Drosophila melanogaster: one gene and its partners. The protein of the gene in region 1 interacts with the protein of each later gene in a pairwise test. Each region holds a gene or a part of one and is shown in the gene's direction. Other genes may lie near its edges. The genes, in order: Mst84Da, 4E-T, slgA and gcm2.

Region 1 (2,856 bases):
GTGCTTAAGAAAATGTCCTGCCGTAGCAAGCAGTACAACTGATCCAGATGGGAACAACAAAGAACGTCCTAGTGAAGCTCGTCGGAAGGCAGAATCAATCACCTTGAGACGTCATTCGTGTAAAATAAAATGGTATTACCAAGAACGTCTCAACCATTTCCATATAGCAACTTGTGCTCGCAGCGCAATACAATCTGCTCGCTTAGTATCCGGCTAGTGTTCCTGATCAAGAAACCTACACCCACATACATATTACGAAACGCATTCCTATTATGTCAACGAGTAACGCCGAGTAAGAGCAATGGTGAACTATCCCAATGATAACATGGATCTGCATTAAGATACATATATATATATTTGTGGCTTTTAACTTTCAGGTGTTAGTTTAACCATGGTGGGATTGTGGTATGGTTTCACAAATCGATTCGGCTGCCAATTGCGAGCATTTAGCACCAACAGCCACCGCAACAACTGCCAAATGGTCCGCAACAAGGTCCACAGGGTCCACAGGGTCCACAGCAGGATCCGCACGGCCCACATCGGGGTCCACAAGGTCCACAGCAGGGACCACAGCAGTAATATCCGCAGCACGATCCACAAGGTCCACAGCACATGATTAATTCGAGAAGTCTAAAATAAACGAAATAAATATGTATACTATTTTAACTTTACAATAAACATTTTTACCAACGGTCTTTAGAAGCCAAAAAAAAAAAACAAGTATTTGGGACAAAACAACAAAATTTTGATGCGAGCAGCACAAGGGTCGAGATGAGAATGATATATTTTCCGAACTTACAAGGTTAGGTGGGTCTGACAGGTCAAGAACGATTTCCATAGCCTACTATGAATTCGAATTATGTTTATGTACAGCGGTTGATGGTTAAAAATAGTTATTATTGTTATAGAATTATTGTTATCGGACATTTGTCCGTTTGCAGACAAATACTATTATTGAATGAGGTTTAAATTCACGGTTGCAGGTTTTATACCCGCCACTCGTAGAGTAATAGCTATGCTATAGTGAATAGAAGAAAAGGTTATTTATTCTTGAGCTGGATCACAAGCCTAGTCGATATGAACGTAGGATGTTCCTCCGCCCCCTCTAACGATCGCAATCCACCAAGAATTGACAATTTTAATTTTCGCAATTATATTACATAAATTATTATTGTCACGCATTTGGTATCCATAGCTAAGACAAAGGTTGCACCATTTAGAAGAGAAAAACCATCGGAAAAGGTATTTTGAAATTCTTATTTTATTGACTAGGCCCGCGAGCTAAGAAGAGTTTATCCGCATTCAGTCCTAAGTTCCACTTTGTGGTTCACAGGAAAAAGATATTTTACATGTTGTGGTTGTTGTTCAGCACCCGCAATATGGCCTACAAGGTCCACAGCAAGGTCCACAAGGCCCGCATGGACCACAGCCCCCGCAGCAAGGACCGCAAGGACCGCAAGGGCCGCAAGGCGCACAGCAAGATCCACAAGGACTACAGCAGGAACCGCAAGGACCACAGGGTCCGCAAGGTCCGCAAGGACCGCCGCACGGGCTACAGGGTCCGCAGAATCCAAGGGGTCCGCAACACATGATGGTTCCGTAAAGTTCTAAGAAAAATTTTGTTAAAACTTCGCATGCTTACACTTTGAGAAATACTCACTTTGAACCTAACAAAGAAATAACTTAGGACGAAAAAATATTTCGATGATTACAGGCCGAGAACCAAAATAAGAATGATGGAAACCTGACTCACAAGTTGGTATATGAATTTGACAACTGTCGAAAATATCCATAGCTAACTAGATTATGGGTTTTGGGATACCAGAATATAATAATAATAATGAATATAATTTGTCGGATCATATTAGCCTTGAAATTCTCATGACTGCTGTCAAATGAAGCTTCGGCTAATTTGGATCACATTCAGTCAGTTCTCCGTTCCACCTTCAATAGTTAACACCTAAATTTTCGGTTCCTTTCGATTCCGGTTGGGAAATATCTTTTAAGAAACAAAATCATGTACATGTACGTCAACCCGAATTACGTTTTGGTTGGGGTATGTATTTATCGGTCTCGTAAGTCGAGTGAATACTTTTAATATGATTTATCAGGGCCCCTGCTGTGGCCCCTGCGGCGGATGCGGACCCTGTGGTGGATGTGGCCCCTGCTGTGGTGGGTGTGGCCCCTGCTGTGGTCCTTGCGGAGGATGTGGACCTTGCTGCGGCGGCACCAGCAGTTTTTGCGGTTGCGGTCCTTGCTGCTAAACCAGTTGACCCGGAAACCTGTCGGAATACTTCCGGGAACTATGTAAATCTCAAAAAATAAACTGTGTGGGAGACAACAAATTATATATTTTTGTTTCTTATTGAAATTAATAATGTAATGTCCTAGTCAACGTAGCTTGGTAGTAGCGGCATCGAGTAAATCAGCTTGTTCCAAAAGTTCGGATGGCTTCTCTCCAGATAGGTGTTAAATGCCATGTAGGTCCTTAGCTCGCTATCCAGACTGTCGAAGTTCTTCACGTTTGGATAGAGCACCACTATCAGACGCTTGCACCGATCGCGTGAGGTGGCGTGGAGGGCCAGTCGGAACTCGAGGCGACCCCAAGTGGAATTCATAAAGTTCTCTGTCATGAGGACAATAATGCGCCGCGAGTCCTTTATAGATTGACCAATGCAATCGGGAATAGATTCGCCCGCCAGCCAGTCTCGCAGGTAGAAGCAGAGTTGGAACCTGGGCCTACCACGTTCCAGCCTATCCACGAACTCCTCCAGCAGAGCCTCGTCCTTATGGGTAAACGCCAGAAAGGCATCGAACCTTTTGTCCTTATCAAGTTCCCGCTTGGCTGACAGACTG
Region 2 (7,751 bases), on another chromosome or scaffold:
TGTGACGACAAATTCTCACCATACGAAAAATATGAAAAACTTTGATTTTTAATAACTCGACATATGGCTTTATTTGTACCACATTTCTTCGTACTGTGCCATACCATCCCTATTTTGCCATCCTTACGATACCGCCGTCATTATCTTCATTAATGGGTGGGTAGAGACCGTTAGGTCAATGCAGGACGGCATATAGAAATTGGGTGACGCACTCTTAGACCATAACCAAAACTATCGTATATTCTCAAAAAAAGGGGACTATGACTATAAAAATAGCTATGTATTTAACTCTAAACCTCTATAGATTTTGATAGACCATGACATTGTGTGGAACATGATGTCATTTTCTAGACATTGTGCACGAAGATCATTCCCGAAGTCGACCGAACACTTATTCCGTGCATGTTTCATCAGACCGCCGGCAGCATATTTTAGCGTTAGGCGTGCACTTCCTTGTATAACTGTGTACACCTACAAAAAATTTCAAAATCAATCTATCGGGCACGCTCCGTTAATCGAAGTACTTTACGATTTCGATTTTAAAGATTGGTGCTCCGGTTTTCAAATTCGTAAGGATTTTCGATGTGTATAACGGGCACTTTTGTCTGGCCGAAATGAAAAGTATATGCCCATTTTTATATCACGTTAGATCTTAACCAAGGGAAAAAATAGTTCAGTAGTCTATTGATTTATATTCATTAGTTATTTTATATACAATTTATTTCTGACCCCATCAAAAATTTGATATACAAAATTTTGCTGTCGGCAACAAAAATTTTCGATTTGGCATTTTAAAACGCAAGATCGGTGCTCCGGTTTTCAAATTCGTAAGGATTTTTCGATTTGTAAAACGGACACTTTTGTCTGGCCGAAATGAAAAGTATATGCCCATTTTTATATCACGTAAGATATTATTTACCAAGGGAAAAAATAGTTTACTCAGTGGTCTATTGATTTATATTAATTATTTATATTCATTATTTATTTTATATACAATTTATTTCTGACCCCATTAAAAATTTGACATACAAAATTTTGCCGTCGGCAAAAAAAATTTTCGATTTGGCATGGGGTCATGCGTGCGTCGACTAAACTTACTTATAAAATATAAAAGAATTAATTATCTTAATTTAAAAGATGGCCTATAGTGTTCGTAAGTAATGCTATTTAATTTAATTAATTAAACGGTCAAAATGCAGTAAAAAATTAAATGCGAACATCGGAATTAAAATTGTGAAAAAGGTGTCCGCTGGAAAACAGCTTAAACAGCTGTTTACTGTACAGAAAACACTCCGACAGCAAAAAATTTTACGAAATCAAATCGAATTCGGAAACAAATTACGATTATTCGGTAATGCATGCCTGATTATAATTTCTTGATTTGTTTTATATTAAATTTAAAATTTAATAGTTTAATAATATAAAAATATTCTTATTTATATTATATATTATGAGTATTTCAAATGTAAATAATCATATAAACTATTTTATAAAACATCGACGTTACATAAATAAAATTTATTTTTTGTTTTTCAAGTGTAAATAATAATATTAATCATTTTAGAAAACATTCGGCACCTTTACTCGACGCTCATACGAACGGACAGATATGCTTAGTCTGGTATCGCTTTAGCACCAGTAGGAAAAACCTAGAATTTCTTTTCCCACAAATGTCACAACTTCAAAATTCCATTGTTTCACGGTGTTTCTCTTTTAATGTTTCAATATTAATATATATAATGCCTTAAGGTTCAATAAGAACAAAATATTTTCAATGTCTATATCCCACTCCAATTTAGCGTGATATTCACAAAGCTAATCGCAACATTGTGAGCATTAAAAATTGTTATATATGTATGTAAGCGTCTTGGGATTATATTCTCATGAAACTCAACAGTCATATATATGGCCTTAAAATACGTATATATATATATATATATTAATTTTTCAAAGTGTGTGTTTGCATAAGTGGTGTGTACTATTTGTATATTCATTGTACAATTTCTCCCGTTCATATAGGAGAGTGTTCTGTTTTTAATAATTTTGGATATCTTAACTTTTTCGACTTTCTGTAATAAGTTAGATTACACAGTGAACTATAGTCCTTAGCAATGGATACATCAAAGATTAGTGCCAGGTATGTGGATTAAATATTGGTAAATTTTAGTCAACTTTTTCGATATTATTCTCGCGTACTGTTTTTTTAAACTTGTATATGTACTAACATTGTTTTAACAATCTGTTTCACATTAGGTACTCGAAAGTAGACCTGTTAGCTCTAAGATATGAAGGTAAAAGTCGACAGCGCCCGCAATGTTCAACACGACTTGAATTGCAGACGCTAGGTTTTTGGAAAATTAATCTGAACACAGCTGCGTTAACCGTGTCCAGCGCCTATTCTAATCAAAACAAGAATCGACTTTCTCCAGAAGCAGATAACTCGAGCTTAATTTGTTCCAATAGTAGCTCAATAAGTTCACGTCGCGCTATGAGAAATCGAGAACGGGCAAACAACTATTACCAGCGCTTCGTACCTACCGATTCTCTTCTAATAAGTGGGGAGGATAAAGATAAGGATGCGCTTTCTCATGGACAGCCCTATAAGTTGAATATCATCGATCACCGTAGCATATCATCTTCACATTTAATGCCGGCATTTGCAAAGAGGCGTTTTGTCATATCGAAAGGCAGCAACAGCGAGGAAAGCAACGAGGGGATAAACACTTGTGCAAGCAAGGGCAAGGCAGCCAGTTCGCCTAGCCGTAAGGGTAGCGAGTTGGATACTGCTGAGACATGTTTGAATTTTGTTCAGCCGGATCACGACCAATGCATGTCATCTTCACCTACATTTTCAACATCCCGCCAAGAAAGGCGGATTGGTAGCGGTCGGCTGTTGCCAAGAAGTGATAATTGGGATTACAAAAACGAAAAGACCGTAGAAGCCAGCATTGAGAATGAAAAGGAAACATCTCCAAATGGATCTGGAAGTACAAGCAGTCTTAATCAGCACAATCAAAGCCAACATCGTTCTCGAACATTCAGTGGAAGGTTAGTTGAACGTGTTCCCGAAGTCACAGATCGTCGTTTTCAATATGACTCCAAAAAGTCTTTTGATCGTCAGGGAATTAATAATCGACGCATTTCTGGTAAGGAGCCTTTCAGTACTCAAAGCCGAAGCAAGCGTGGCAATTCCTATCTCATTCACGAAGAACCTGAATGGTTCAGTGCAGGACCTAAATCACAGCTAGAAACTATTGATCTACACGGGTTTGAAGACCTGGAAAAAAACGAAGAGCGATCCGTAACTGAAGATAAAAATAATCAAATTCAACAACTTGATAAAAATTTAGACGCGCAAGCAAGCAAAGATGAAGCTTCGATGAGAAACAGCAATGATAGTTTAAATTTCCGCGAAGTCATTCCAAGTGATGAAAAGAAGCACACTGACGAAAATGTAGTGACTTCTATTCAAAACTCAACAGATCTCGGCCATCCCAATAAAAACAAACCAATTCAGATGCAGCCCAGTCAGAATCCTGAAAGTGAATTTAATTTTGATGCCTTTCTTAATATGCATCCCTTGGATAATTCCGTTTTGGTAAATATATTGCAAAAACTAGATTTTAAGGAATGAGTACCTAATCCATTCAGACATTACATGGACAACTTCCGGGTTACCTTTTATTGACGGATCAATAATAGTATTCAAATAAGCTGTAAATAATGATATTAACTCCCGTTACTCAAGTAAAGGGTAAAGAGTTAAAGGGTATACTAGATTCGTTGAAAAGTATGTAAACTATATATTCTTGATCAGGATCAATAGCCGAGTCGAACTGGCCATGTCCGTCTGTCCGTATGAACGTCGAGATCTCAGGAACTAAAAAAACTAGTATGTTGCAATTTAGCATACAGATTATAGATACGAAGACGCAGCACAAGCAAAGACACTAGAATAACAAGATGCGTAACGGCCATACATTGGTTTTGCACTATGCAGCCAATTTTTTAGTGACGGCCAAAATTGCTCTCTTTCCGCTCGCTCCCGCTGAGAGCATAAGAAATCTAAAAATAGAATTTGCTTGCTTGTGTGAGTAAAAACAAGAGACGAGAACGCATATATGTGTGCGTGTTGTGCTAGAAGACGATTTTCGGACCGAAATCAATTCTGATCAAAGAAACGAATTTACATTGTACATATTAGGGTAGTTTTTGTCAATTTCGTAGCAATATGATAAAATAAAATAATTTTTAACTGACTATTATCATTTTAAAGCTTTTTAAATTTGTTTGTTAAAATCGCCGCTCGAATTAGCTACCGTTTACACATTTATATTTATGTTTAATTCTAATTTGTCTCTCATCTGACAATTTTTTAAAAGCGAAATATTTTTTTTTTTAAACACTTTTAATGTTAATGTTACATCATATTAAGTCAAATGACATAATAAATATAGTAAATAATTAAATATGATAACTGTTTATTGCAAAAGTCATATCAAAGACACTAGAATTATTCTAGTGTCTTTGCTTTGTTCATATCTTGAAGCACGAAGTACGGACACAAGCACTCAACAATCATTGCCTTATTAATTTTTCACACGCCGCAAGATGAATACTCTAATGACAAATATTCTTATATAAAGTCATTTTTGAAATTTATTTTTGTGATAATATGTACATAGATTTGGCTATTTCTAATCTATTTTCATATAATAATAACGTTAAGGCAATGCAAAACAAGAATTTTTCGCATGGTGCCAATTGATCAAAAATAATATAGATTTAAAGTCAAAGAACTTCTAAGGTGAAGGGCATATTTTGTGAAATTTACAATGCATGAGCATGCCTGTGTACACATACAGTTGTCTGCTATCACTTTATGCGTTAAAAACAAACAAACAAACCGCCCAGAACTGCCACGCCAACATTTTTGAAAAATGTTCTGATATTTTTTCATATTTTTATTAGTCTAGTAAATTTCTATGGATTTGCAAAAAAAAAAGTTTGCCCCGGCAACTCTAATACCCTAGAATTTATATTTTAAAGGTAAGCTTATTAATTTTAAGATATATTTATTGTACATTTGCAGAGTAATGATGAAACTGGAAAAAGTGACTCAAAAGGAACATCCCGTTTTAGCCGATGGTTTCGACAAAAAGAAGCTGCAAATAATAATGAGTTTCCAGGGTTTCGGGAATCGCATGCTCAAGAAAAACGTGGTATGTCAAGATTTGTAATAATATATCAAAGGCCTTATAGTTCACTTTGTTCTTAAGGTATTCCAAGTGTTAAGGATCTGGAAGCTCAAATGATAAAAGTGGATATGAGGACTGATTTAATAAATCCAATAGCAGGGTCATTATGTCAGACAGTGCAAATGGAAAAACCTATTGCTAGAGACACTGAGGCATTCAAAAAACTTTTGCAACAGTTGGGTTCTCAAGCCAGGCAGCATCATCCATGCAACGACGATTGTCGTACAATAAACCTCTCAAATATAGCAAATCATGTACACCTTGAGTCAAAATTACATCAAAAAATAAATGATGGTCATTTGCAGCAACCAGAGTTAAGTGTTAACGTGCCAACCATGCCAACTAGTAGTCATGTATTTTTGCAAAAGCGTTTGGAAATCCAACATTTAATTCAAAGTAAGATATGTTTCAAAATTCCATGTCTATAAACTTTTTCTTGAATACTTAAGTCCTTTTTCTTGTCCTTATGGTAAAATAATATAAGGTTTCTGGCTGATAAAACACATGAATGTTACAGTTTACCATATACATGTTTACCATCAGAACGGGAACTTATTTAAAGCGTATCTGGTAAAAACCACGTGTTCTTATTTTAATGCTTTTATACCCTGCGCTGTATTTAAATATTATGAAAAACAAAATGTTTAATAATAAATAGGACTTCATTGTGGAGACGTTTCACATGATTTTTTGGAAAAAGAATTGGATAATCCCAGCACCCCAGCAGCCACAAAGGATGTCATTGCCACAGTGTTGAATGAATATTCTCATTCTAAAAGAAATCCGGTGGTCACAGGCGATCCCAATATTTTTACCCAACAATCGTTTCTTCAGCCTCAATCAGTCCATCAGCACTACTCTCAAGGTAAGTAATTCTTGGTTATATGGTAACTCTTTAAAATTCAATTAATATAATATTTGATTCAGTTAAAGTATCTTATTTATTACTAAAATTATTTGTAAAAATTCCTTAATTTTTTTCTAGAATTGCATTCGCAAAATACTGCTAACCATACGATTAATCAGCTAATTTCCCACGGTAACTCTCCAACTCCGTTGGCATTTACTCCTACTTCAGTTTTAAGAAAAATGACAGCCGATAAGGATACGCAATCACCAAGCACTTATTGTCAGAACCCACAATATCATGTACACCAACAAAATGCCAAGCAAGTCGGTACTCGTGAGAACGTACTTGAGCCACAGCTGACCGCAACAATGGCTGTACAGCCCCGAATGATATTAGGCGGTGGAAACTTTGCCATTGGCCAAAACAATCAACATTTGTCTCCCAACATGTCACAAAGTCGTAATCAACAAGTGTTAAAGTGGACTTCTGGCAATATGCAAATGGTCCACGGAAAAACATTTGGTAAGTTACACAAAAAAGTGTTAGCTATTATTAAAGTACATTTATTAGTTAAAGCTTTGTTTTTTTTTTTTTGCTATAAGTTTTTTTTACTCGTTCTCATAAACTTAATGTAAATGTATATGAATTTCAAGAGAAATTATAAAAATCGTTGAGTTACCATAAAAAGCGTGCAAATACGCAAATACAAAATTCAGTTCTTAAAAGAGGATAGTATAGGATAGGAGAAAGTGGATGCTTTTTATACCCGTTACCCGTAGCGTAAAAGCAAAGACATTAGAATAACAAGATACGTAACGGCCATATATTGGTTTTGCCAAAGACATTAGAATGACGAGTAACGCCATACGTTTTTTAGGATTTTTGTTGACTTTTTCATCAATTTATTAGTCTCTTAATCAAGTAAATTTTCAAAAGTTTTGGTGGCTTTGTGGGCGTGGCAGTTTTGGCCTGTTTGTGGGCCTTAGAGTGTCCGCAGCATCATGACTCTCTCAAGCTTCTCAACTCTCTAGCTTCTATAGCTCCTGAGATCTCGATGGCCAGATCGACTCGGCTATTGATCCTGATCAAGAATATATATACTTTATATGGTCGGAAACGCTTCTTTCTGCCTGTTACATTCTTTAAAACGAATATAGTATATCTCTACGAGAACCGGGTGTAAATATACAACCTGTAGAATAGCTAAATTGGCTTTTTGAGACACGACGTGCGTGCACGTATATACTTACATAATATAGAGAGTATTTTTTAATAGACCAAAAAATAAATATTCATATACACAGTTTGCTTAATTTATATTCTGTGCAAGAAGTGTACCCTACAATTTTGATTATTCTTGACTTATTGGGGTAATGAAAATTACGATTATTTAGTGGAATTTTTTGAAGTGGACTTTGTTTTAATGTAGTTATCTGTGACCCAAAGCAATATTTTATTCTCTAGGAATAAATATCTTTGTTAAACAACGCGATATAATAAACTTGAGATCTTCGACTTCTGTATTAATGGGTTCAAAGACTTACACATTATTATTTTGACTTACATATTTTAGGCCGACCTATTCTGAAAGGAGGTCTTAATTCAATGCCGCATTCCAATTCTGCACTTCCTTTTACTGCCCA
Region 3 (4,828 bases), on another chromosome or scaffold:
TTTATTTACATACATATATAGATAGGTTTTACATGTTTTTCGGGCTATGTTGCACACATATCCAAAATATTCAGTTCATATCCGCACAACTGTGCATTAATATTCAATTGTTTTAACATTGTCGCATCAATCGAAAACCTTAAACTGAATTTGTCGCCCTTATGATAGTCTTGCGGTCAAGTTAAGCACCCATTTTCGATACTTACGATGCTTAAAGCTATTTGCTGGTGGTGCCCAATGGAGATGGAAAAACAGACATTCGTTGATCTACAATTTAGTCAATAATATTATGTAATAACAGAAAATCAAGCCAGCCGAAGAGAATGCGAGAAGAGAGTCGCGGCGATAGCGAATTATGTATTGTTTGTTATGACGGCGGTAGGAGGAGACCCGAGTCAGTTTCACACGCATATATCTATGTATATATTTGGTATTTAAATAACTTGTTCTGTTTTTTTCTTGTTAAGTTTCTCCTTTTTCGGGCCGCGTTCGCTAAGCAGCAAAATCAACAGCAGCGGTCGCTCATTAAATGTTAATTATTATTATTTCTAATATGTAGTCGTAACTTATTGCTATATTTGTCGAAACGCAAACAATTTGCAAACAAAAATATATTCATTTTAAAATGGAAACTTGGAATTTTCATTTTGAAGAGCCAATTTTGCAATATTTATCTATGAAACGCCAGTAAGTAATCAGTATACGGGAACAATTTGGTATCTATGTACGCATACATTGTGTATATTAAAAAATATGGAGTGCATATAGTTCTTGTAGTTTTTTTTTACGTTAACATGATTTCTTTGATGCCATAAATGTTTCTTAACTTTCTTACCTTTTTTCTATAAACAATTTTAAAGTAAAGTAAATTGAGACGTAAAAGGTTTTTTTTTGTTAGTGTCACAAGCCGAATCGCTTTGTTTTTAATTTTAATCAGTTTAAAAGATTTTATACGAAGTAATATGTTTGAAATTTGTAACCGAAAAAATCGCTTAAAACAAACCCAAAGGACATTTTTAGAGATCGCTGGTGTGTAGATTTGTGAGACGGCGATAACTATCGATATTTATATTATATTTATATTGCGAGCTGAAAGTAACAAATAGTTCGGATACTCAATTTTGTAACTAACAATAATTCAAACTTTTCTAAAATCCCTTCTTTCGGCACACAGCAAAAGGAAATATTTGGCTTGGGAGGGTCCGATTAGAAAGATTTAGAAAACTTATATTCATTTGGTGGCCTTATATTTGCGTAAATAGTGCAATTAAAATAAATCTGTTTGATACTTTCTTGAGTCCACGATAAGCGTTCTTTACACAGAGAAACATTTTGAATAATTTTCGTACCTGAAACTAAATTTCAAATTTTGCGAGCGTATATTTCGTATCGATATATTTCTCCAGTGATCTGGGTGTAAAGCAAGCCTGTTTGCGAGGCCAGTGTTGCAAGACGCCGGTTGTCAAGAAAGAGACAGGGAGAGAGATGAATAGAAGGAATGGTTCGTTTTTGTTGGACGCTGGTGTGGGAGTCCATTGATAAGATAAGAGCACCGAAGATTCCCGGCCAACCGCCAGGGGCCTAGATAAGCGTGCCGATTTTTATTGGGTAATAAGAGTTGACAAGATGGCGATTAATTTTCGATCGGGTTTCTTTTTTTCGCTCACGTGCAGCCCAAACAGCTGCTGGGGGTGGCCCATCCCCTTTCTGCCCCTCACCGACTGGTCCAACAATTTCTCTCAAGCTTTTTTGGACGAGCTTTCGCCGTGTTGGCCTTAATTTCGCTTCATGTGTTTCAGTTTATTCGCGAATTCAGACCCTTGCGCGTGCTCACGCTCTCTGTTGCAGCAGCAAAAACCAAAAACCCTCGAAAAGAACAACATTGACTCGAAAAAACCGAAAAATAATTATAATTGTACTTGTACTTGTGTGTCTTTTGTGAGGTGAGCAAATGCGCTGACAGAAACGGGAACTTTTCTACTTTTCTCGCAGGCTGCTGTGAGAAGTTTGTCAAACAAACACGAGTTTTTCCGAAAAACTATATTTGGCAATTCTACAAATTCTACAAAATTGTATTGTTTACCCTTATTATTGTTTTTGGGTCGTTGCTGGTTATGTATCGTAGTTTGTTTTTTTTGAAGTGACAAAACAACCGTTAAAGCAAAATTTATATCGAGCAAATAGAGGAAACCCACAAACCCAAGCGAAATTTTGCAGTGTACATGTGAGTGGCTGCGTTGTATTCGTATCATAAAAGGATCTCTACAAAGCGAGGTAGAGAGCAGTAAGCAGTGTTATATAATAGGTACAATTCGCCGCATAGCAACAAATAAGAAAAATGAAGAAAAAAAAACAAAAAAAAAAAAACCATTCAGATGAATTCGCAATTTAAGTACGGCAGCTCCCTGTTTCCCTTTAACCAAGGCGGCCAGAGCGAGACAGAACTTGATATAGCCCATAATGAAGTGTAATGAAATCTGTGCAATGAAACCCGCCAAGTTTTTTCGATTGATTGCAGCCTCCCGTCTGGCGATTATTTAGCGGGCTGCTAATTAATAAATAAAATGAAAAAGGGAAAAGGGGTTAATGGGTGGAAAACTGAGAACGAAAATTGGGGAGAATCAAGGAGAGCCGCAATTAACACCAATTAGTGTGTGCTTTCGGCGCATTTCAATTAAATCAAAACAAATTCCAAATCAAAATCAAAATCAGAAGCAAACGGGGCTGGCATGCCTGTGACGTCACACAGTCGTAGTTACAATTACGGTACAATCTCGGTTACATTTACAGTTACATAAACGGGAGCGAAGCGGCGAAAAGGATTTTCTCGCCCTCGGGTCCTTCCTCGTTTCGCTTCGTTGAATTTGCCGTCGCTTAACAACTCGCCCCATTTTCACGCGTCTTCGTCGCATTTGGTTTCGTGCTTTTGCGGCGTATACAACGCTCAAAGCGTAATAGAATAAATAATAAGAACGAAGTAAGAAGAAAACCCAAAAGACACATAATAGCGAAAGATAGATTTCTGCCCAGAAATTGACTTTTTTAATTGAACATTTCGAAGGTGTACTTGCGTACGTGTGATTGTGTTGTGCTGTTTTTTTCGGCTTCGCTCTCCCTCGCCGCCTCACGTTTTTCGCATTTGTTGTATAACATTCGGAGCGAGCGAAAGAGGGAGAGCGAAAAGCTCTCCGACAAAATCAGCTGTGATCATTGGCGTTGGCGTGGGGTTTGTGGGGGGGCAAAAAACACAATTAGGCAAAAAGTTGCAATAATAATATGTACACTGATTTTAATATTTTTATAAATTGAATTTTATTATACATTTGTTTATTATTTTTATATTAATTAGATATCATCCAATTACAATTAAATCAATTCTATATGATCTTATTGAAAATCAATGCATATTTTGAAACAGTCGTAATAATTTTGTTATATATGTACCACATTTCCACTTTTTAAAACGTTATTGTAATCGAGTTGAAAACGAGATAACCACCTTTAGTAATCTCTTCGTTACGCCACTGTCTTCCCTCAGATTCGTAGTGATTTGTAGAGATAATAGTGAAATTACCTCTGCTTTCCATTGTTTTCTTTTTGCAGCAACAACCGAGATTGGAGTGCGTTTCAATAACCGTCTCAAAAGCCGAAGAGCAGAAAGCGTAAATAAACCGCAGAATCCCTTGTAATGGCTCTACTCCGTTCGCTGAGCGCCCAACGAACAGCCATCAGTTTGGTCTACGGCCGTAATAGCAGCAAGTCGAGCAATTCCGTGGCCGTCGCCGCCTGCCGGAGTTTCCATCAGCGCGGCAGCGGGAGCACCAGCATCGCCGGAGAAGGAGCAGCATCGGAGTCCACGAGAGGAGTCAATGGAGCGCGCTTCCTGCACAGCGGCGACCGGCCGCTGCAGGCCTCCACTCTGGTCCAACCGGAGGTGGTCTCCAGCGAGACGGTGAAGCGATCGATGAAGCAGGAGTCGTCCCAGGAAAAGAACCCCTCGCCCGCTGGCTCGCCGCAGAGGGATCCCCTGGACGTGAGCTTTAATGATCCGATTGCTGCTTTCAAGAGCAAGACCACTGGAGAGCTAATACGCGCCTATCTCGTCTACATGATATGTTCCAGCGAGAAGCTGGTCGAGCACAACATGACGGTGAGTTAATCGGTGTCCCCCACTCCTCCTCTGCCGAGTCCTGCGACCTTTGACCCTTGAATTGGTCCAATCCATCGACTAGCTGAGATCTCTCTCTCTCTCTCTAGCTCTCTGTTTCTGGTTCTGTTTGCTGAGAAATCTGGGGCTCTGTTAGTACATAACCCCTGCTTAATGCTTTCTTAATATTACAATTAAGTAAGTATCGTTTTAGATAGTGACCGATTTCGAAACCATTTGTTTCAACTCTCGAAGTGTGTGCTGACTCTTCGCCTCTTCTGTCCTCTTCTGCTGCTTTCAACTTATTATAATTCATTCATTTATTTTATAAATACTTCCTTTAAAATGCTTTATTTAAATATATTCATGTACATGGATTCTTGGACACTTGAAGAGTAAACAAAAGTTATGAACAGCTAGGGCTATTGAATTCCATGTATGTATAATGTTAAAGTTGTCTGAAACTGAACGTAGAAGAATATTTAATTTTTTTGTTTGCTTCCTTTTTTCTATTCATGAATTTTTTTGTCTTATTCATGAATTTTTTCGATCCTGCCAAGCTTCCATTCGCTTGATTCCGATTTTCCGGGCAACCGAAGCCCGTGTCAGGTGGCTGGCTGCTTTCCTTCCGATTTTCCGCCCTGCTTCCGCTTTTCAATTCACCCGACCCGCAGCGAGTTT
Region 4 (6,335 bases), on another chromosome or scaffold:
TCCATGCTTATAAAATAATGTTAAGCAATTAATTGCGAAAACCCCAAGCAGCTGCAAGACAGAAAACCGAACGATAAGCCGGATCGCGATAGATACTGGGGTAAACTGTTTAGCTAGTTGTGAAGTTGTGCATTTTCTACCACTTTCTGGTTGGTTCGTATATATGGTAAATGTATTTGTCACCCGTATCATTTGCTGTGGAGCGTTAAAGCGACAACAGCAGCAGCGGCAGCAGCAGCAGCCATTTCCAGGCCATCCGCGTAGTTACGCGTCTCCAGGCCCAATCCCGTATATATCTGGCCATAGTTGCAGGGGCCCAATTCCCTCCTGCCCCTTTTTAATTACGGGTCACAGTGGATGAGCGCAGGGGCGCAGCAACAGTTGCCACTGGTCGGTCGCTGCCACTTTTGTTACCATTTACATTTCCTGTCAACGGCATTTTCAATTTTCACTTTAACGCCTATTTGCTCCTCCATTTCTTTGCCTCTCCCTGTTAAATTGCTCTTCTTGGTCTGTTAATTGTGAGTGTGTGCTACCAAGTGGATGCATAAATTGTATTTTATTTTTTGTGCCCTGTAACTTTGGCCCAAATGGCGATGCGGGCTGATCAGGTGAAAACAAAAGACGCAGCAAGCATTAGGCCCAGCAATGCCCCCGCCTCACCAAAAAGTTCACCCTCTGGCTGATCTGGCCCTGATATTGTTGCCACTTGTGTATTCTCATGTTGTGGCTTTAGGAGAAATAATTTATTTGGCCAATAACCAGAGGAAAGTTGCTGTGTTTGGGGGGGAAGAACATACTTAGGTATCATTAGAAAATTTTTGAATGTTTTAGTAAATGTTTACTAATTAAAGAAAATTCAAAACTATATTTATTTCATAGTTAATATGAACAGACAACAGTCTAATGATTCAAATGCCGTTCCTTTCTAAGGCGACCCATGAAACAGAATACATATTTATACATACAAGTGACTCAAAATAAAAAGCAATCATGGCCAGTTATCGGAATGTTCAATTTACAATACGTGTTAAGCGGCATAGATCGGCATTACCCAGTCCATTAATCATCCCCCTAATCTGGCGAATATTCCAAACGATAAACCCCTGAATATCTATGCTCTGCCAAAGGTTTCCACTGCTTTTTGTTGGCATATCCTTAAACAGAGTTAAACAGAACAATGGGGACTGATAAGGGGCATAATAAGTAATTAAATTTCTGTGATGCTTATCGAGTATGTAGCCCCCACCACAGAAATTCCTCCATCTCCATCGCCGGAACTTCAAAATCTCTCTCTTCTCTTCTCTCGAAAGAGAGGAAGCCTATGTGTGCGTGTTTATCCGACCAATCGGAGGCGAGAAGAGACGACTGGAACTGGAAGCAACTGAGACTGCCTGGAAGGCAATGTATCTGACGGATACGTTTTACCACTCTGCCAGCTGCGTGGAGTTTTTTGGCAAATTATGCGGGTGGCTCGTCGCTGTATCGTCGCTTTCCCCGCTTTCCCGCTCCTCCGCCCACTTTCGAATATTTTGTTGGTTTTTGTAGGTGGAGCCAGAGCCATAATACCATTCCTTTGTTGACAAAACTTGGCACTACTACTCGCTCGCTGAAGTTTGTTTTTGTCTGCTGCTGCCGCTGCTGCTCTTTTGTTTTTCGTATCTGCCAGATACGCGCGCACATCCCGCCCTGCAGGTTGTATTCGAGGTTCAGCGAAAAGGTCGTCATTCTCACGGTTGTTTCCCATCGTCGGCGTCGCGTGCGCAATTCAGTTCAATCCAATCCAATCCGTTCCGAGGAGCTTCAACTAGCGACGGCTATCCGCGAGATACAAGTGCCCAGTGGATACAAGTGTCGCCTAATTGGATTACAATGCTCAAGTGTTGCCTGTTCGCAGGGCTTTCGAATCGCGGAAAACTCATTTAGGAGCAGTTGAGGTTTTATTGGATATTTTTAATTATACCACCTAATACCTGGATTAAAGAAGCTGCTTCAATTGGAATATGGTTGTTATGTAAGTTCTAAATAGTCCCTTTTTCGGAGATTTTCAAATGTAAATTCGAAATTTTATTGCCAAAAAATACTTTTAATAGGACAATAATCATATACTTTGTTCTCGAACCTTTTATCAAATATAATGGTAATTATTGAAATATGCTTAAAATAGGTTTCACTAAGTTTCTAAATTATTCTGCTTGGAACCCAAAGGAATATGGATTAAAAATTAATTTGCTCACATTATTCAAGGCATAGAGCTACCGAAGAATTAAAAAGCTCTCAGTACAAATGTTTCAAATTATTGCTGATCTGAACTGTGCCGACACGCGTTAAACCCAAGCCATCTGCGTAAGTGTTGAGCTTCCAAACACCTCAGATCAATCTCGGATGAAGAATGGGCCACAAATCAAACGATAAAGAGGCAGCGGGGGAGGTCAGGGAAAATGTAAATGATTTCAAACGCTTTATTATCACGCTGAGCGCGTTCCACAGCTTAGTTAATGGCACTCCGGTCCAGTCCAATCCGCTCCAAAGAGCCGCGGGGTGTGCCTCGTATTTTGGATGTTGGATTTCGGAAGGGGGATCTCGAATCTTGGAAACCGGCGGACCACACACAGTCGTAGGCGGAGCGGCGCTCGAGTGAAAGGGTCAAAGAGCCGATGATGATGATGATGCCCCCCCGGCCCCTTCGATTTATAGAGACATATTTTCTAGGTGACAAACTTATTATGAGCCCTGGACAGAGGAGGCCCAAAAATACAGATCTCGAACGAAGTGAGACGCTATCAGCATCAGATAAGCCCAACTAACGAGCGCCCCGAAGTGTCGAGCAGTCAATTTACGGACCCAAAACAAAGCGAGCCACTAGCCACGAACAGGTTCAATCGGGGGAAACCAAAGACCACCAGGCGAACCGTAGCACAGGTATTTGGTGTGTGGTTCTTGGTGCTAGATGCTGTGCAACCTGCTGACTTCCAAGTACACATAAAAACACTCAGGGGACCGAGGCGAATCGATCCATCGGCTTCGAAATCGATGGAAGACAAATTTATTGCTAATTGCAGAGCTCGCTCTCTAATAACTCCCACACATGGAGAATCTCGGCTGAGGCCCTCCATCGAGTCTAGCGATTCCCAGCTGACTCACGATCGGAGTGTCGGTTTAATATGCATCTCCGCCTCCTCAACTGGCGCTCGAATTACGATTGTGGCCAGCTTGGATTACCTGGTGCACAAGATTTGGGGCTAACGGTACCAGCCCTCTAAACTGGGCCTAAATAACCATGCGTTTCATGAGGCCCATAAACCTGGCAAACGTTTCATTTGATTGGTTTGTGTTGGGTTGGGATGGCCCCCTACGAAACAGTTTAGGGCGCAATTAAGATAGGATTTCAATTCCTTAAACGATGCTTAGGCTTTGGCGATAAAGTCACAGTTAAATGGATCACTTAAAGTTTTTACTCGATGTAAAGAGTTTTAATGTAAATAAATTCGATTTAAAAGTTAATGCTGTGACTCACAGTTTTGCCTTAACTTAGATTCCAAAAGGGCAGTGGTGTTTTTTTATTATGTGGCTACTAGAAGTGATATAAAAATCTGAACTCAAGTTAAAGTATGTTTTGTGCTCTTTGGCAAAATTCAAATATAATAATATAGTATTCTTAACTATGAATATAAAATGCAACTTATTATATATAAAATCCTCTACAGAAATGGCTACAGCTTCAAGACGCAGCAACTTCTCACACAGCAACCCGATCATTCTCAGCTTACCCAGTTTGTCCAGCCCCAAAGTCAGAGTACGCATTCGGTGCATCCGGGTCCAAGTCCTGGTCAACAGCAGGCGGGTGGCTCCATGACCATGCCGTCGTCGTCGACGGGCAAGGGAAAACGGGAGTGGGACATCAATGATGCCATTGTGCCACATGTGCCGGACCAGGAGTTCGACGAGTTCAACGAGTGGAGCGACGGGCATGTGAGGCACATCTATTCGCTGCACAACGAGGAGGCCAAGAAGCACATTTCCGGCTGGGCCATGCGCAACACGAACAACCACAACGTGAACATTCTGAAGAAGAGCTGCCTGGGCGTCCTGGTCTGCTCCCAACACTGCACCCTGCCCAACGGATCCAAGATCAACCTGCGCCCAGCCATTTGCGACAAAGCCCGGCGGAAGCAGGAGGGCAAGGCGTGTCCCAACAAAAGTTGTCGTGGCGGTAGACTAGAGATTAAACCGTGTCGCGGTCACTGCGGCTATCCGGTGACCCACTTCTGGCGGCACTCCGGCAATGCCATCTTTTTTCAGGCCAAGGGAGTGCATGATCACCTGCGTCCGGATCCGAAGAACTCCAGTGTTTCCAAGCGGGCCTTTGGACGTGTGCCGCTGGCTGGAAAGTCAGCCAACGGATCAGTCGCCAAGAAGTCGGTCATTGCGGGTCTGGTCAAGCAGGCGAAGGTGAGCTTAGATAGACATTCATTCACCCGGGATGTATCATCTTAACCATTCTTCTCTGACGACAGCAACAACACAGTCTGATTAGCAAGGTTCTTAAGCGTCCTGCTGTCAGCAATCCTCTGGCTCACACCGCATTGGATATATATCAGTATAATGGTAGGTATATAAAACAAGAATATTTAAAGATTTCTTTTACAATTTGTATCCCCCATTAGCCTGTGGCAAGTGCGCCGGTTATAGCCACTGCACTTGCAGCTACCTGGATGACAGCACCACGGCGAGGAGCCATCAGTTGTCACAATCCTCGAATTACGGCACCAATTCTTGGCCACTAAGTGGATCCGAGTCATCGGCACCCTGCGAGACGGCAGCTAATGTGTTTACGGTCAACCACCAGCACATCACCTATAACTATCCCATCTACCATGCAACTCCAGCGGCGGCCACCGCGGCACCTAGTAAATCTCCCAGTTTGCCCTACGCCTGCAGCATTTCGGAACTGGCCGCATACCAGCAATCCTCCAGCGGGAACAGCTTTGCGATGGGTGTTCCCGTGCACGGACACACACAATGCCAGGCAGTAGCCTATGATTCCAGCCCGCAACTGGCCACTCCGGAACCGGAGTTCATCAACTACTCGCAGATCAAGCATTTGGGTGGTGGCGGTGGTCAGGAGGAGATCAGCTGCAAGGCCGAACCGGGACCCACCATTAAGTACAATGCCACCGTGGAGACGCAGCCGTATGTGGAGGACAACTACGATTACTACTATAGCCCCAAGGCGGAGTACGAAATGCAACAGCACCACCACCAGCAGCAGCAGAGCCACCAACAGTTCGGTGGAAATCAGACAGCGGGACATCACTACTACGAGAGCAGTAGTGGCTATAATGGAGTCAGCTATTTCGACACAGGAACTACTACGGCACCAGGAAATACTGCAACCGGAAATGGCCTGGAAGTCGGATACGGCGGCTACTACGATCACTACACCAGCTACGAGCAACAAATGGCGGTAGCAGGTGGATTTGCCACTGCCGGAGGATCCACTGCGCCGACAGTGGCCGCGCCCCCTGGCCATCCACCGCCTCCACCACCACCGCCCACGCTGACGTACCACCATCACCATCACCACCACTTGCACCACCCAGCAGCAGCTACAGGCCTAGCCCCATCGGTCACCCATTGAATAGTACTTAACCAATCCGGACACCGGAGGATTACTCATAGTCGATAGCTAAGCATAGTAACATAGTGTTTAAAATAGTGGTGAAATCTTAATTTCCATCTGTACGTGTAGTGTTAAACGGTTTACCAATTGTTTTTCTCGGCAAATAAATTATGAAAAGTGTTGATTTGTAAAAGTAAATGTATTTAATTTAAGTGCGTAAATATAATTTCTTATTGCGCGACCAATTCAAACATAGCTAATTTTCAGCGGTCATGATGGTGCGGTTCTTGAAATCAGAGATAGATGTCGCGCTGTAAAAAAATTGTTGGTAAGAACCATGTAAAATGTAATGGTAAAAACCATGTAATGTAGACAAGCAGGTGCTCACTTAACCATAACTGTAGTAATTTTAGGACGCATTTAATGATTTGTAGTTTAAAATCGATAGATAGTAAGATATACTTTAATACGAATGATGTTTTATAATTGGCGGAAACATTTAAAGAAAAACAAATTGGCTGCCAAGACCCAAATTTTGTACCGCTTACATGGCTTGCAGTTTTTTTTTAAAAAGCCTCCTACCGGTAAGAAACTGAACTACTGCAGAGTTGCTTTACGATAAACTCACAATGACACACAGACACAGACACACAGACATAACCAGACTAAAGAGAATAGTACTACAAGTTATAATCGCTATCTTCAGCAAGAG

The links.
Region 2: the proteins of Mst84Da (region 1) and 4E-T interact in a two-hybrid assay, tested with the Drosophila melanogaster proteins (one large-scale study listed by BioGRID).
Region 3: the proteins of Mst84Da (region 1) and slgA interact in a two-hybrid assay, tested with the Drosophila melanogaster proteins (one large-scale study listed by BioGRID).
Region 4: the proteins of Mst84Da (region 1) and gcm2 interact in a two-hybrid assay, tested with the Drosophila melanogaster proteins (one large-scale study listed by BioGRID).

The regions. Positions count from the first base shown.
Region 1 is NT_033777.3:7,363,916-7,366,771, forward strand, and holds Mst84Da (Male-specific RNA 84Da), read left to right. Parts: upstream 1-1,934; 5' UTR 1,935-2,017; coding exon 2,018-2,056; exon of another isoform or gene 2,057-2,111; coding exon 2,112-2,264; 3' UTR 2,265-2,347; downstream 2,348-2,856. Other genes in the region: Mst84Dc (Male-specific RNA 84Dc), read right to left, coding at 447-614; Mst84Db (Male-specific RNA 84Db), read right to left, coding at 1,366-1,590.
Region 2 is NC_004353.4:952,392-960,142, reverse strand, and holds the start of 4E-T (eIF4E-Transporter), read left to right. Parts: upstream 1-1,750; 5' UTR 1,751-2,111; coding exon 2,112-2,137; intron 2,138-2,253; coding exon 2,254-3,598; intron 3,599-5,092; coding exon 5,093-5,222; intron 5,223-5,279; coding exon 5,280-5,654; intron 5,655-5,916; coding exon 5,917-6,123; intron 6,124-6,243; coding exon 6,244-6,630; intron 6,631-7,681; coding exon 7,682-7,751. UniProt on the Drosophila melanogaster protein: eIF4E1-binding protein that regulates translation and stability of mRNAs in processing bodies (P-bodies). Probably plays a role in P-bodies to coordinate the storage of translationally inactive mRNAs in the cytoplasm and prevent their degradation.
Region 3 is NC_004354.4:21,372,517-21,377,344, forward strand, and holds the start of slgA (sluggish A), read left to right. Parts: upstream 1-1,795; 5' UTR 1,796-2,224; exon of another isoform or gene 2,225-2,305; intron 2,306-2,905; exon of another isoform or gene 2,906-2,977; intron 2,978-3,593; exon of another isoform or gene 3,594-3,603; 5' UTR 3,604-3,688; coding exon 3,689-4,150; intron 4,151-4,828. UniProt on the Drosophila melanogaster protein: Converts proline to delta-1-pyrroline-5-carboxylate. Involved in the conversion of proline to glutamate, which functions as a transmitter at neuromuscular junctions. Glutamate deficiency could possibly account for reduced motor activity.
Region 4 is NT_033779.5:9,606,895-9,613,229, forward strand, and holds gcm2 (gcm2), read left to right. Parts: upstream 1-1,667; 5' UTR 1,668-2,003; coding exon 2,004-2,014; intron 2,015-3,707; coding exon 3,708-4,452; intron 4,453-4,517; coding exon 4,518-4,608; intron 4,609-4,667; coding exon 4,668-5,641; 3' UTR 5,642-5,812; downstream 5,813-6,335. UniProt on the Drosophila melanogaster protein: Transcription factor with a minor role promoting glial cell differentiation and a more significant role in hematocyte differentiation.